Linked DNA regions of Lepisosteus oculatus. The protein of the gene in region 2 binds, or shares a complex with, the protein of the main gene of each other region. Links are inferred from orthologs where the notes say so. Each region holds a gene or a part of one and is shown on either strand. Other genes may lie near its edges.

The links. The genes of interacting proteins can lie anywhere in the genome.
Region 1: the proteins of poly [ADP-ribose] polymerase tankyrase-1 (region 2) and usp25 are in contact, whole or in part, in a crystal structure (PDB 5GP7), measured with the Homo sapiens proteins. The link is inferred for Lepisosteus oculatus from reciprocal best matches to the Homo sapiens genes TNKS and USP25. Residues at the interface, in NP_003738.2 of Homo sapiens: Arg836, Ser838, His842, Leu843, Gly846, Tyr847, Leu871, Asn876, Ser879, Tyr880, His882, Asp900, Trp902, Phe904, Glu909, Gln912, Lys913, Gln934, Glu935; in NP_037528.3 of Homo sapiens: Ser1046, Ser1048, Arg1049, Thr1050, Pro1051, Ala1052, Asp1053, Gly1054, Arg1055.

Annotation. Positions count from the first base shown.
Region 1 is NC_090700.1:252,996-261,008, forward strand, and holds the start of usp25 (ubiquitin carboxyl-terminal hydrolase 25), read right to left. Parts: upstream 3,017-8,013; 5' UTR 2,836-3,016; coding exon 2,794-2,835; exon of another isoform or gene 2,646-2,793; intron 1-2,645. Other genes in the region: arsenite methyltransferase, read right to left, coding at 3,873-3,977, 4,966-5,088, 5,800-5,942, 7,551-7,682. UniProt on the Homo sapiens protein: Deubiquitinating enzyme that hydrolyzes ubiquitin moieties conjugated to substrates and thus, functions in various biological processes including inflammation and immune response.
Region 2 is NC_090698.1:18,734,447-18,741,561, forward strand, and holds the start of poly [ADP-ribose] polymerase tankyrase-1, read right to left. Parts: upstream 3,105-7,115; 5' UTR 3,057-3,104; coding exon 2,561-3,056; intron 1-2,560.

The sequences.
Region 1 (8,013 bases), on a different chromosome or scaffold from region 2:
TAACTAGAAAACTTTGAACACCTTAAAAATAAATGCATGTCACCGAGATGTACTGTGCATAGTATATGTGAAGATATTCAGGAAAACACAAAACCTGTTAAAAGCATTAATGAGTACTTCTTACAACAACTGCCAAAAAAAACTGACTGAATCAATGTGGTCAGAGTAATGGCCTAAAATGACCAAACTAATGAGCTATTGCAGCGACTATAGCATCCTCCATTCAGACTGTTTCGACTGTGCATGGTTGAAGTCTCAACAACTATTGTATTGGAGAAAAATAAATACAACATTAACAGAATAAACTACTGAAATTTGTTTTAAAAGTCTTTTACTATTGTTAAGTCTTGGTCTTTAGTGGCAGTTGTCAAAAATTGTGCAGAAATGGTCAGTTCGTATTACTCTTGGTCTTCATCTGCTTCAGTACGAAACATAGCAGCACTGCAGCCTCGTAGGATATAGTCCTACCTTGCGCCCTACAGTTCTGGGGTATAGACTGAATTAACATGATCCTTACCAAGAATATGCATTCTTCTGATAAGGTTAAAATGACAGCATATTAACACTGAATCAACAGTGAAACACAAACCAGAGGACACATGTGGAAGCTACATGAAGGTGCATCTGAACCCAGGAAAAGCAGGCAATTTTCTGAGACCATGGGACAGCCTCCCCAGCCATGCTGTTGAAGCAGATACCCTGGCTTCTTTAAAAAACATCTGGATCAGCTTGGATCAATTAGTTCCAAACCACCAAAGAGGCTAGATGGGCCATTGTTTGTAACCTCTCTAAATAGTTAATGACTTTAATGATTCGTAAAGTCAATGAGTCAATGTTATTTCCACATTCGACCTAGATATAGTACCAGTGGAGCCAACTCTGTACACATCACAGTCTTAAAGTGAACTTGGCTTGACCATGTCAGAGGAGCTCATTTTTGTTTAGCTTACCTTTTTATTTTTTACAAGGTGAAGAAGGTGAAGAACAATTATCCATGCAGCAGAAAATGTAAACCCATATCAGTGTCATTTCTCCATAGTCTGTATATACAACTATTCATTCAACTTAAAGCAAGATGTCTTCTACCATACCACATACTTTAAAGTGAGCTACGCTTGATTTGAATCAACTAAGGACTGAAATTCAGTTGTTTCTGCTTGTGGTAATACTTTTGGTTTCTGATTCTGCAGTGTCTTGGTTCTGTGCACTACCACCTGCATGCGAAAAAAGTATCCTATATCAATTTGCATACTCACAAAAGTTAAATGAACTACAGAACAGACTTTCTGAGATTTATGTTAAAGTGTAGCCAAAAAGACTTCTCAGACACACAATATATATGGATCTTCTCGCAGGAGGCTGCTGGTTAAAGAATAATCCCTGTACATGGTTATAGCTTTCTTTTATGTTTTCTTTCCACTTCTGTAGTTAAATAGCCCACTGTATAGATTTAAATTTAAAAACCTTTAAAAAAAGGCTTAATTAAACCGTGATTTTATTAATAAAGGGCTTAAGCAACTGACCCAAATCAAGAATCCAGCTAGAATAGAAAACCACAAGATTCTAGGTTTCCAATGAACACAGAAATCCTATACCACTCCCTCTCGTCTTGTCCCTGTGGCTTGTGTCTGTAATACGTAGGAAACATTAAACAGTACTTAGCCCACAGTGCCTCTTGCTCCAGAACATAATTATCAATTCTGGGAGCCCATTTGGCTATTTTGCTTTGCCCCTTGCTTGTTGTTCTACTGAAGCAAATACAATAATATTTTCACTTTAATACTATACATTTAACACAACACCAATCCCCTTCAGGAATATATTAAGCTAACATAGACAGATATTAGTAATAAATCTAACAAATGCACCAAACGCTGTGCATTAACTATATAGAAATGGAAACCAGGAGTAAAGGAATCTGCACACGCTTGCTCGGGTACTACAGTTCAGAAATCACAGCAGGGCAGTGAAGGCTGGAAGAGTTATGTAACTAATTGCGGGCTCAATCCCAGACAGTTGCGTTTACAAGCTTAACTTCTTGATCTCTACCGGGCTTTATTGTAAAATCTGTTTCGAATGCCGAGGAGTTACAATGAAACATCACTATTTAATAATCAAACGCCAGGCATGCTACTATTACCATCAGTAACTATACAGTACTGAGGACACGCACAAACTACAGGAGATCTCCATTACGATTGCTACACACAACTAAAAAGACGGTTTTCTGCACGTTTGTGATCAATACATCACATTTATATCCCGACTACACAAACAACAACAGTCACTTTTCAACACCTCTCTTCAGATCCGGGTTGTTAAATAGAATTATAGGAGGAGATAAGAAAACGATACTTAAACGATAGTAACTAAAAAAAAAAACCGAAAACAAGCCATCTGGCCCTGGCTCTGGCTCGTGTTAGTTATTCGTCAAATTATCGATGAAACGCAAGATCCATCCGAGCATTTTAAGATAAAGTGTAGCGATTACGACTATGCTCACTTCCTAGGTATATTTTAGGGTAACTGGGTTATTTGCTTTAGGAATGCAGCAAATTGCACGGCTTTAAAAACGATGAAGGCAAAGCTAATGAATCCTCGACGTCGAATAACCCCGCCTAGCGCCAAAGTAATATTTTCTCCAGTGTTACAGCTCGCTCAGGCAGCGTGGAAGCGCTGTCCTGGAGAAGCCGGAGACTCGACTGGCAGCGGCGCCGGAGACCGTCCACCCTGCCGGGCACTGAGCCACAGCCGCGGCGCTTCTCGGCAGCAGCTCCCCAACACCCACCCTACCTTCTGAGAGTGCTGCTGCAGGACATTCTGCTCCACGGTCATGGCCGGCACACACAACCAAACCAAACTTAACAGGAAAATGGCAAGAAATTGAAAAAAAAAACATATAACTAAGATGTCCCCCTGTTTATCAGCGCACTAGCGGGAGCCATTGGCAAGGTAGGAGAAAAGTCAACACAAGCCCATCGACACCCAGGCTCTCTGAGATCAGCTAGTTTGGCCTTGACTGGCTGCAATGACGTATAATCAGACAGGCCCACAAACATGGCGTCAGCGACCCCGTGGTGCGTGTGTCAGTTTTTGAAATGTAATGTACAGAAGTGAGAATTTAGCTAAACCTCCGTACCCGGGAAGCGTGATGAATGGAGTAACCTCTATTTAAGTGATTGCATGATCCGTGCAATTAGGATTCATTTAATATCTAAACATATGTTGGGGTCTGTAAAAATAATGCCTTAGCCAAGAGTTTGTGTGGTTAACAGTGGGGCAAACATTGTAAGAGTAAAAAAGACAAAAACACCTCTACAGCAGACGAAGCAATCTTCAGTTTTATGGACGAGTAGAAAATGAATGTTTTTTTTTAATGATTACCAAACTGCTATGCCAAATAAAATATACTCTTGTGAAGTTGAATACCTTCTCAGATTCCTCACCACGAAGAAAGAAACAGAACACTTTTTGAACCTGTTTAATGTAGGTTGTTTCTCAGAGTTCGGTTTTTCTTCGTAACAACATTCAGCCACATTTCCCTTCCACTCCTTCCAAACAGAAAAGAAAGGCTGAGTTGCTATCATGGATTTTATTAAAACTGCAGCTGGACAGTGCAGCCCGTGAGCAGGTTGTATTAGGCTCCAGTTTTGCCTCTTCAGTCTAAAGCAAACAGTTCTGTTAATACTTTGGTGTAAAGATCACTGTCGGGAAGGAAAAGGCACTATATCAAGGAAAAAACACGCCTCAGAAATCTTCAGAAAGAGTACCAAAGCTGAAATTGTCAAAGAGATAAGTATGGGAGCTGTGACTAGGGTAACTGGACAGAGCACTGCCCCTCCTGCCTCCCAGGGCTTTCTGCAGACCTCCTGCTAGTTCACTGCTGCTTCACAGGCCACTCTGGCCCTGGATTTGGAACACTGCAGCATGGACGCGCCCAGCCGGTCAGCAAGCAGGAAAGGGTTGAGGTGGGAATACTGAAAAAAAAAGAAGAGACTTTAAAAGTCTTTAAGACTTTAAGAGTGGAGGCATGGTGGCTTTAAGAAAATAAAAACAGGGGACCTCAAAGATTTCAATGATTCACTTAAGCAATAGATTATTAAAATAATTCTTATCTGGGATCATGGGTTCCAGAAACAACTAATATTGTGAACAAAACATTTAAAAAACACAGTACATCTTAATTTCCCAGTAAACTAGGAGCCTCATCTAATTCTGTATTAAAGAATCAACATCAAATGTAGTTTAAGTATAAAAGTGGAACATAAAAGCACACAAATGTATTACAGGTTTAGTATAAATTATCTTAAAAATACTGGGCCACCTGTCATACTTCAGAGTCCTGGAGACAGACCCACATTCATTTCTCATTTAGATGAGAGCAGTTCAAAACTGGTTTACAGTTGAATTTTGGATGTGGTTTGACTGCCTTTTACATTCCAACTGTGAAAAACAAATAGTAGGTGGTCATTCATATCACTCAAACCACACACTAAAAAGATTTCTACATTACATGAGTGTTCAGCAGGGGATATGCAAGTTGTGTGGGTTGCCTCATGTAGCACAGTGGCAGTGGGCTGCAAGATGTGCCGAATCGGTTGCTAAAAAGTGTGGTGTGACCTTCTGATTGAAGGTGCTTGTGTAGGCTTGAGCCTGAACAGTAGTTTCTGTGAGGTGGAAATTAGGCTACAAGCTGTAGCACAGCAATTACCAGGAGATTTGGCTGAAGAATTAAAAAATAATAAAATATGAATATACTGTAGGCACAATGGTCAAGAGACTTTTCAGGATTTCAGACATGCATACTATGTTTGTGTAACACAGGGGGATTTGACAGAGACTACTAAATTCAAACAGAAGAATCTCTAATGACATAAAATGCACCTATCACAATGAGCCAATGTTTCACATGAAACACTGGCATTAGGCTGCATTTCCCCAGGCTCTGCAAGGAAATGTCCTCACCGGAGGTGAAATCTCCTGGACGGTCAGAGGAGCATCAGCGTTCAGAATGGAAAAGTCAGATGAAAAGCGGGAGTACTGGAGAACAGAAGCCGTCTCGGCATCCACCTCAACAGCTACACCTTTCTGGAGACAAAATGCTCTCACTACGGTATCAAACAGAACATAGCTCTGCTATAGAGCTGAACTAACCCTGCATGGAAACAAATACGAGCAAATGTTAATTTCATAAGATCAGCTATCCAGTTTCAGTGGTATCATATCAGCAACAAGGCAGTCAGACCAGTCACAGCTATAGGCAGGACAGCTCACTTCTTTCAGTAGTTACTGACAAGGAACTCTGCACTAAAACTCGCTACCTCAAATCTCACTGAACAGATTTTAAGAATGAAAAAATAATTTCCAAATACCACAGAAAATTTTATTCTAGGTTATCACTGTGCATCACCAAATCAGTGAAACATGCTGCACCATGCTTTACACTTGCCTTAATGGATTATTTACCAGTTTACTGGAACAGTAAATCATGGCAAATTGGTTAAAACAAGAGGAGGCCCATCTAATCCATTTTGAAGTTAGTAGTTACTTGATCCCAGGATCTTATCCAATTGTTTCTTGAAAGAAGCCAGGGTTATCAGTTTTAACAACAAGGCTGGGTAGCTTGTTCCATAGTTGCACAACCCAACAATGTCAAAGAGGAGTGGACACTGCTTATTGTTTTCTTTTCATTACAATCTTAATGGAGGGATACACATTGTTTCCCATTCTAATCTGATCAGATGTTTAACTCAGAAACGTGTCTGCACTCAAGGCAGAATTTCTGGAGAACATGCATACCTTAAAGGTGTGAGAAGCATCAAACACCAGCTGGTCAGGATGGTCAGACACGGTCCCTTGGTATGTCATGATGGCATTTCCATTAGTTCTGTTTTTTGGCAATTTAAAGACACGGTATGTCCCAGATGCATATGTAATATCACCTAAGCAATAAAAAAAACATTTAATACTGTAAAAGTAAGTAAATTAGCACTCAAATCAATTATGTAATTTCTGGCATTAGTGTAACAGAGAGCCAAAATTTGTCACTTCCATGGAATAAAGTGTAAATTTTCAGCAGAAATAATTTGTTCTATTTAAAAATGGAAAAACAGAACCCCCCATCTGGATGGTTAAACAGGAACATATGGACCAAACCTCTGCCTGTTGCTTTTTCTTTGCCTTTTCCAGCTCATAGTTTCTAGTGGCTGAGTGTGGCACAGCCCATGAAGGAAAGCTCCAGGAAAACCACTAACAAACACACTGTAGAATATTCAAAACTGGGTCTTTTAAATGCCCCACTGGTTACATAACAGCACCTTTTGAGGAAGACTAATTTCATAACACCAATGTCGTGCAATGAGCCTGTTCAAGTTCATTGTCATTATACTCATATACAGGTATATGGTTTAATTAAATGCTATTTAGCTAGCTCTCAGACAATAAGTAATACAAAAAACAACAATACAATTGTATAAGAAAAGAAAGACCGAGACAACAGGCAGTGTGCAAAATCATAATGAGATATTATAATATCAACATAATGAAATAAAGGATAGAAAATTATGGGGAGTGAGCTACTTGAAGTGAGGTAGGGGTAGATTTCAAGGTGTTTGAACCTACAGTGCCTTCTCTCTTACCAGATCGTAGGTGAGAGAGGCTGGGAGTTTAATAGTTTGATAGTGCGGGGGTAAAAACGGTCTCCGAGTCTGGTAGTCCAGGCCTGAATGCTCTGGTACCGTTTTCCAGATGGTAGAGGCTCAGTCTGTAGCTGGGGCGTATGGGGTCTTTGATGATGCTTAGAGCTTTCCTCAAGCACCGTCTGTCATTTATGTCCTGTATGAATGGGAGGGCAACCCCAGTGATGGACTGGGCACCAGCTGTAAGGCTTTGCGGTCAGCAATACTGCAGTTGCCGTACCACACTGTGATACAACCTGTCAGTGTGCTTTCTGTAGTGCACCTGTAAAAGTTAGTGAGGATCTGGGGACATATCTTAACCTTCTTCAACTGTCTTTGGAAGTACAGGTGCTGTTGCGTTTTCTCGATCAGACAGGTGGCATTGAGAGACCATGTGAGGTCCTCAGTGATATGGACGCCAAGGAATTTGAAGTTACTGACACTTTCCACTTCAGTCCCATTGATGTGGATAGGGGCATGTCCGTTTTGCAGTTTCTGAAATCAATGATCAGCTCCTTGGTTTTGCCGACGTTGAGGGTGAGGTTGTCTTCACACCATGTTGTAAGGACCTCCTCCTGGAAGGCCCTCTCATCATTGTCTGTGATCAGACCTCCAACTGTGGTGTCATCGGCAAACTTGATGATGGAGTTGGTGTTGTGTTTGGCCTTACAGTCGTGGGTGTAGAGCAATGGACTAAGCACACAACCCTGGGGGATCCCAGTGTTCAGAGTAGTGTGCCAGAGGTGTGGTTTCCAAGCCTGACAGCCTGAGGTCTGCCTGCCAGAAAGTCCCAAATCCAGTTGTAGAGGGTGATGTCGGGACCAAGTCGGGATCAGGTCCTTCAGCCTTGCGCGTGTTCCAATTCCTACTTACCCGTTTTTTCCAAGAGTTCACGGTTACGTATGACAATGTGGCTGGCAGCAACAAGGTAGGGTCTGCTGAAGCCTATATCCTTCACCAGTGATATCAGGTCCATCCAGTACAGGGAGCCACCCAGGCCTTCCCCTGCGACAAATCAAACACACCAGTGATTATCCGCCCCCGACCACTGATTTACTGAGAAATGCTGACAGCAACTACAGCCGAGAAACTCCTCATCCCGCTTCATTTATGGATCATTTCTCATATCGGAAATTCAAAACAAATTGACTGGAGATGTTTCTGCAGCAAGAATTCCAATTCTCCATAAGGTGTTTAAAATTTCATTCACATTTTTATTTTACAGAGCACCTTCTCAAGGACAGCCTCAGTAAACTGCTAAGTCAGATACAGGAGTGAAAGTACTATGAATTTCAGGCATCTACAAGAAGCCTACAAACTTAATGTAAAAAATTCC
Region 2 (7,115 bases):
AAATATCTAAGAACAGCTAATAATAAAAATGAAAATCAGAACTGTGCCAAAACAGATTTTTGTGAAACTAAGGGGACATGATTTCATGATTTACACACTCATTGGTTAATATACACAATCCATTCACAATTATGGCCCGAACTGAAAAACTTAAAAAGAGTTTGAATCCAGTCAGGAAGAAGGATTTGAAAATCGGAATAATTCTATTTGTTCCCACAACATAAAACAACTCGGCTATTTCTCTACATTAAGTAAGAATCCGCAAATAATAGGTTTTATGCGAGTGAGATGGAAAAAAAAACATGATGCTGTCTTTTTCTTTAAATAAAGTGTTTTCTTCAACATTAAATGCTGATTGACCAGACAGGGCTGCAGAATCCCTACACTGGCATGTGTGCCAAACACTTTTATCCTGAGCTTAACATTTTGTGTTGCCCCCCCATGACTCCAAGGCAAGTAAAGAAAAATAAGTAGGAAAGGGTCTCAGCATTATATCTATATACACATATACTGAATATGCAGTAGACATTCTACATCTGTAAATGTATGCTTTCACCCATGTTGACCACGTTTTCTGCAAGGAAGGAGTACCTGAGCAGAAGACTGTGAAGCGCTGATAATATCCAGTTTACAGTCCTTTTTTCACTAGGTCATATGCCAGGTTTTAGAGACAGTTTTCATATAACACAGGAAGGTGCAGGCATCAAGTGTAATCCAGAGAAAAGCCAAGCTCTCTGTAGTGATTGTCATATTCTGGTGATTCTTTTGCCAACCAATGTGATTATAACACTGGAAGATACTGGCACTTTCGTTTATTTTGCACTGTCAGTGAAGTACTTTTGACAATCCCTCAGACTCGGACAGTTAAGCAGGTATATGAAAGAAAATACATCTCTGGTGTGAAGTAGCTCTAAATTTTATCAAGCAAGATCTGAGGAATTCTCTCAGAGTTTCTGAAAAGTCTCGGGATGGATGTTAAAGTTATTCATGTTATGTTCCTATCACCACCCATGTCAGCTGCTAGACAAGACGTACGCAGAGAAAGGGCCTGAGAAATGTTCAAACTGCCATACACCTGGATTGCCAGATCTATTTCTGGAACAACCTCCACACTTTTTTCTTCTTTTGTAGTTTTTTTCTGAAGTACAAAATAAGAGCTACCACAAGGGAAGCTGAGAAAAATAGAGTTGTCAAAGTTTTGGTTGTGGGACTTTTGAATATTTTAATACTTTCTAAAAGGTTCCTAACACATTTTGCACCTTTTTGTAGAAAAACACCCTGGCGTGTCCTGGCATGTTGCAGCTATAAATACACATACCTGCTGTTCTACAGCCAAATAAAAGCAACACAAATGGAAGGTTTTGACATCTGATCTTGAATTTATTAAATAATGGTACATTAAAATAGTACTGACTTTTTGTTAGGCTTTTCTCAGGACAATGTGGTCCATTCAGGAGGACCCAACATGGTGGTCTTAAAATCTTAGACTTGGGGTCTTTTCTGCCCCCTTATCTGAGCAGGTGTGTCAGACTACAGACAGCAAAATAAATCACACTGGCTGACAGGTCTGTCAGCACGTGTTGGACCATTTGTCACAAGCATTTACCCAGACAAGGCCTAAACTGGAAAGTAATTTTCATGTGATCTCCCAGTAATAATAATAATAATAATAATAATAATAAACTTTATTTTATATAGCACCTTTAAAGGGTAGGTTCTCAAAGACAGTATTCTCAGTATATCAACATAAGTTTCGATTTTACTTTGCTTGTAATTACGTGGAAAATGAAGCAAAATCGGTCTCATCTTGATTGCAATCACACGCCCTGAAAAGTTTGTGTTCCCCACAAATGACAGACGAAAAGTCACGTTTTGACAGCACAAGTTATTTATCTCCGTGTTAAAAAAAAAACAGCTCTCCATAATCAACTTCACGGATTGCCGCTCCCACAGCGCGCACACAACATGCGGACACCCGCACGGCCTGGGCTTCGTTTAAACGCTCAACCCAACTTCCCAAACTTCAGTTCAGACGTTGTTTTGAACGGATCTCTCCTCGTAAAACCCAGATGGGATAACAGAGCTTCGCGCGAACTAATTCAGACACGTCGCGGAGTGGCGTGACAGCTTATGCTCGCTCAGGTGTTACTAGCCTCTCCTCAAACTGGCACGACCCCCAGACTCGGCAGATGAGGGCTAAACACCAGCGAAGTCTCGCCGCAAAGTTATACTCCAGTTAAAAGGCATCCGCGTTCATCGGCTAAACCACCACAACGCTGCCCACTCCACCGACCTCATCGAAAAAACGGAAGCAACTCTAATGTGCAAAGACACGAATTCCACAGCAGCTGCAGCCTCCCGGATGGAAGCGTGGATTTCCAGTTACTTTGATCCACCCCCCCCTCCTATTTTCTCGATTAGAATTGTCGATCATCAGCGCTTTAATCGTTTATTGCGGGTTTTCAACCACCCTCCAGGGCTGCCCTTACATATCCTAACAGCGACTTCAAATGTCAAGCGATAGAAAACAAATCAAACACACACACAGCGAAATACTGACCGGCCGCGAAGTGAAGCGGGGTGGATTTTCTCCCGGCCATGTCCTTGGCGTTCACGTTCCCCGAGTCCACCAGCCTCTTGACCCGGGACACATCCCCGTTGCGGCAGGCCTCAAACAGCTCCCTAAACGCCCCCCCGCCGCCGCCGCCGCTACCTCCCGGACTTGCAGTGCCCGAGTCCGGGCTGGAGCCGCCGCTGCTGCTGCTGCTGCTGCCCCCGCCGGTGGTTGTCGTCGTGGAGCCGCCGCCGCCGCCGCCGCTGCTGCTAGCAGTACTGCTGCTGCTGCTAAGGGCCGGAGCGGGGAGATCGGGGGAGGCCGGCGTGATCTCCGCTTCCCCGCTGCTGTCCTGGTCGGCGCCAACCGGGACCGTGGCTGCAGCCCCTGCGGGTGCAGGAGCAAGAGGTGAACCTGGGGGAGTCGGGGAGAGAGAGGAGCTCCGCGGAGGGGACGACAGGCTCTGTTGCTGCTGATGAGACGAGCGACGAGACGCCGCCATTTTCACAACACAGGAGTCCCTCTGGCAACAAAAACAGCGCCGCTCACTTCCGGGAAACAAGCAAATGCGTGCTTCCGGACGTGGACAGCCAATGATCGCAGAAGCAAAACAACTTAACAAAGGACAGACGATCCCGTAGCGCAAATATATGCTGTACGGACTTTATTGGAGCCGGGGCAGAAGTGAAACTCAGTAGAAAATGAGGAGAATAACACGCATTATGTACATACATCGAAATAAAAGTACCCTTGAACACTACTCCAATTTATTTTGACAAATTAAAACTTTGCAACGAAGATAAACACAACAAATAATGTAAAAAAAAGTCAATTGGTACAAATGTTTCGCCTCGTTTTCTGCGCAAATAAACACACTTTGTTGAATAGTTAAAGCCATAGCATCCAAAATTAACAGTTACCATATGTAATCCAAAAATCTGGTTAGACAGCTCTTGATCGAACTCAGATTCCTGACATATTATGGTCTTCTTGAAATTTTCAATGTGTTCCTTCAAGGGTTCCCTTCTAAAGGTGTTCTATGGTGTATTTTGAAATAAACACGACAGAGTGCAGCAGAATCACAGTGAAACATTAAACCCAGATGGATAATATTTTTGCCATGGCAGAGAAAATTAAAAACCACATCCTTGTGGTACATGTACATCTTGGAACCCATGCAGTATTACTGGACAGATTTATCATGGTAATAAGAAAAACTGAGGTTTTAGTGGATAACAATTGAGGGGCAGCAATAGAGTACTAGCTGGAAGATTGTGGATTTGATTTTCTTATGTAGACTCTAAGTACCCCATATGAATGGACACAAGCATGGCTGGAGTTACTTGGGCTAGTGTCATATACAACAAAGTCATCTAATCTTAGTCCATTTAACACCACGAAATCTGAGATGAGCTCAAACATGATGAGCCACAAGCCTCCAGGATAGCTTTTAACAACGGAGGATACAGAAATAGAAATGAGTATTTGCTAGTCTCTATGAGCCTGTCAACTCACCTGCACCCAGGAAAATCATGGATCCAGTATATCATCTGCCCATGCTTCTACTTCCATACTCTACTGTGTGATTAACTGTAACAGATTCACAATCGGTTCTTTGTATTACCTTTTTTACCCAATTTTATCACTTCAACATCTACAATGCTAACTTACAGTAAGTTTCTCCTGCATTTCTGGATTTTGCTGGTTGTCTTAAATTAGAAAGACCATCCATGGAGTCAGTCTTATTTTGCTCTTAATGTTGGGAAGGTCTTAATCAAAGCTCATCTCAGCATACTCCAACCCCCACCCCCACCTCCTCCTTCACTGTAGCATTTATTGTGGAAACCAAAATGTTTCTTAACTACTTGGTCTCCTGTACATGACGACTAATCAACACATTTGCTTGTGGACTCTTTATAAAGCCATCTATCTTAAGATTAAAATAATGCAAAAATCGAATAATGTGTCAGCTTTATCCCTATGCAATTTACTTTTCTATGTTTAATGAAAACCTGACACTGGAGATATTAAATAGAAACAAATGCTGCTAATTAATTTCATTGTGTTTTTTTTTTCACAAATGGCAACAATAAACATCACTCATTGTCATAGTAATTACTTCCAGTGCTCTTATTCCTCTTCTAAAGCATGTTGTGCATATAATTAATATGTTTTGAAATGCACTCATACATAATTACATCATCTTGGTAAGGAACCAGGGAGTGTCCGCCATAAGCAACAAAAATTACTGACATAGCATCTTCTTAAAAAACTGACATGAATTTAATCAACTTTTAATTGTAAACATAGCATCAATTATGACAAAAAAACATTTTGCAGCAGGTTGACTGCCACAACATTGATAAGTTAATTTTTCTGATTAACAGTGGGTCACAGGCTACCAGTGTGTGTGGCCCCTGCTGGAAAGAATTCAAGCTTAAAATCTTGACATGTTACATTGCCTGTGTAAATCCTGGTCAAGCATGGGTCAGATCACTTGTCTCTGAGCTCTAAAATGGCACACATCATCCCAGTTCATCCCACTAATGCTCCATAGGGCTCAAGGTTTGGAAGCAGGACATTGTTGACACCACTGTCGCATACTCAGAGAAAGCTGTTACACAAGCAACAGGAGGACTCACTTTGGCTGTCTGGAATGTTATCACAGCTGGATGAGTCCACAGGAGGAGCAACAAGCGATGCCCCAGAACTTCATCAGAGAAGTAGTGTGCAGTTGGGATGTGTTATAAGGGGATTGCTGTAGCGACCGGACACTCTTGCCCAGACCATCATATTTGGATCTTCCTGTTGATCGATCTGTTGTACACAGCGCTTGGCATGACACTCTGCACATCCCTACTACGTTCGCAGAAATCTATCAGGGGGGGCTACACAAAACCCTGATTCATTGTTACGGAGGATTTGGCATCACTGCCTTCATGTCCACATGAATTCATTTAGTCCAGCTTCCAACATATTGATTGCATGAAGGCATTGTTCCCTTGATAAAAGATCCTCTTAATATTGGTTCTTTTCTGTGGTTTTCTCTTTCGATTTTTTACAAGGTTTGACATTAAAACCACCTCATCACCTGTGTCCAATTGACTATCTCACTAATTAGGTGATTTAGTGATTATACAACCGTTGAAGTCACTTAAGTGTATTACAGTCTCAGAAGTATCAATTAGTCAAAAAGATGGCAAGAACATTTAATTAATATCCAATATTTATATACTTTATTTTTCAGTAATATGTTTGTTTTGATGCTCTGTACAAGAGTTTGTAATATTGATGATCCCTATAAAACCAATTGTTGGTTTTGCATCTAAGTCAGGTGTGTAAGAGAAAAGTTAAAGAAAATGACTAAACTGAGTAAAAAAATAACAAAACATTTACCTATCTTTGCAATACAAAGTGCAAACCAGTACCAAACAGGTCAATTTTTTACTTTCCATTGGTCTGTTAATTTAACCCATAAACAACATGCCGTCCATCTTTAAAATGAGACATTAAACTGAGGTCCTGACTCTCAGTGCTCATTAAAGATCCCTGGGCATTTCTCAATAAGATTAGGGAGTTATTCGGTGTCCCAGGCCAAATTTCCCCCCTCTGGCTTTACCGTGGCCTCCAAATTGTATGATTGGCTTGCACTTGCCCTGGGATGGACTGGAGAGCCGTCCAGGGTGTCCAGGGTGTACCCTGCCTTGCATTTGTTGCAGTCACGATTGTAGTTTGTCCCACTTAAGGGCTCTCCGGCTCTTTCACATTTGAGTTGATTTTGTGCACCTGCTCCCAGTTCCTGCCTCCCTACTTAAGCCAGACGCTCACTCTGTTCCGGGCTCTGCATTGGTTTCCAGTACCAGTGGAGTATGGGACCTGGAGCGCCTGGTCCTGTTTCCCCTTTTTCCCCCCGACCCTCCGCCAGATGGTATAAAGCGGTTTGGCGAATGACATGACATGACATGAGATGACAACATGCCATTCAACTTAATCTATGTCTCCAACACACATGACACTACTGTCATTAAAGAAAGAAGCTCCATGCAGTCTTCTTTGTATTACCCAGAAGCCTCTTTTATCTGCTATTCTAAAATAAGCTGTGTTAACACAGGTCAATTTGGAAATAAAATAAGACATTTGCCTAATTCTGTGAAGCCCGATTCACTCAGCCCACACAGTTCACTGGGGCTCTCTGTGATTTGAAGAAAGCTGTGTGAGCTGAAAATCCATTATTTAACATTGCAGAACTACTGTTTGACTTGAACAGAGACTACGAATAGCATTGTTCAGATCAGGGAAAATAATACCTGTATTCATTCTAGTTTAATGTCTTGCCGTGACATCCGCTAAATCATTTTATGTAAAGCAAACAAAAAGAGAACCCAATTGGAATGTTAACACAGAGTACCTAGTTGTGGTAAATCCTAATATACAATATTTATAGGATAATCCTAACTGACGTAAATTACACTACACAGTAGCAAATCACTTACCCTTTCAGATCTTCACATTTGTTTGACCAGAGCTCTATAAAGTCTTATACACTGGCTTTGAAAATAAT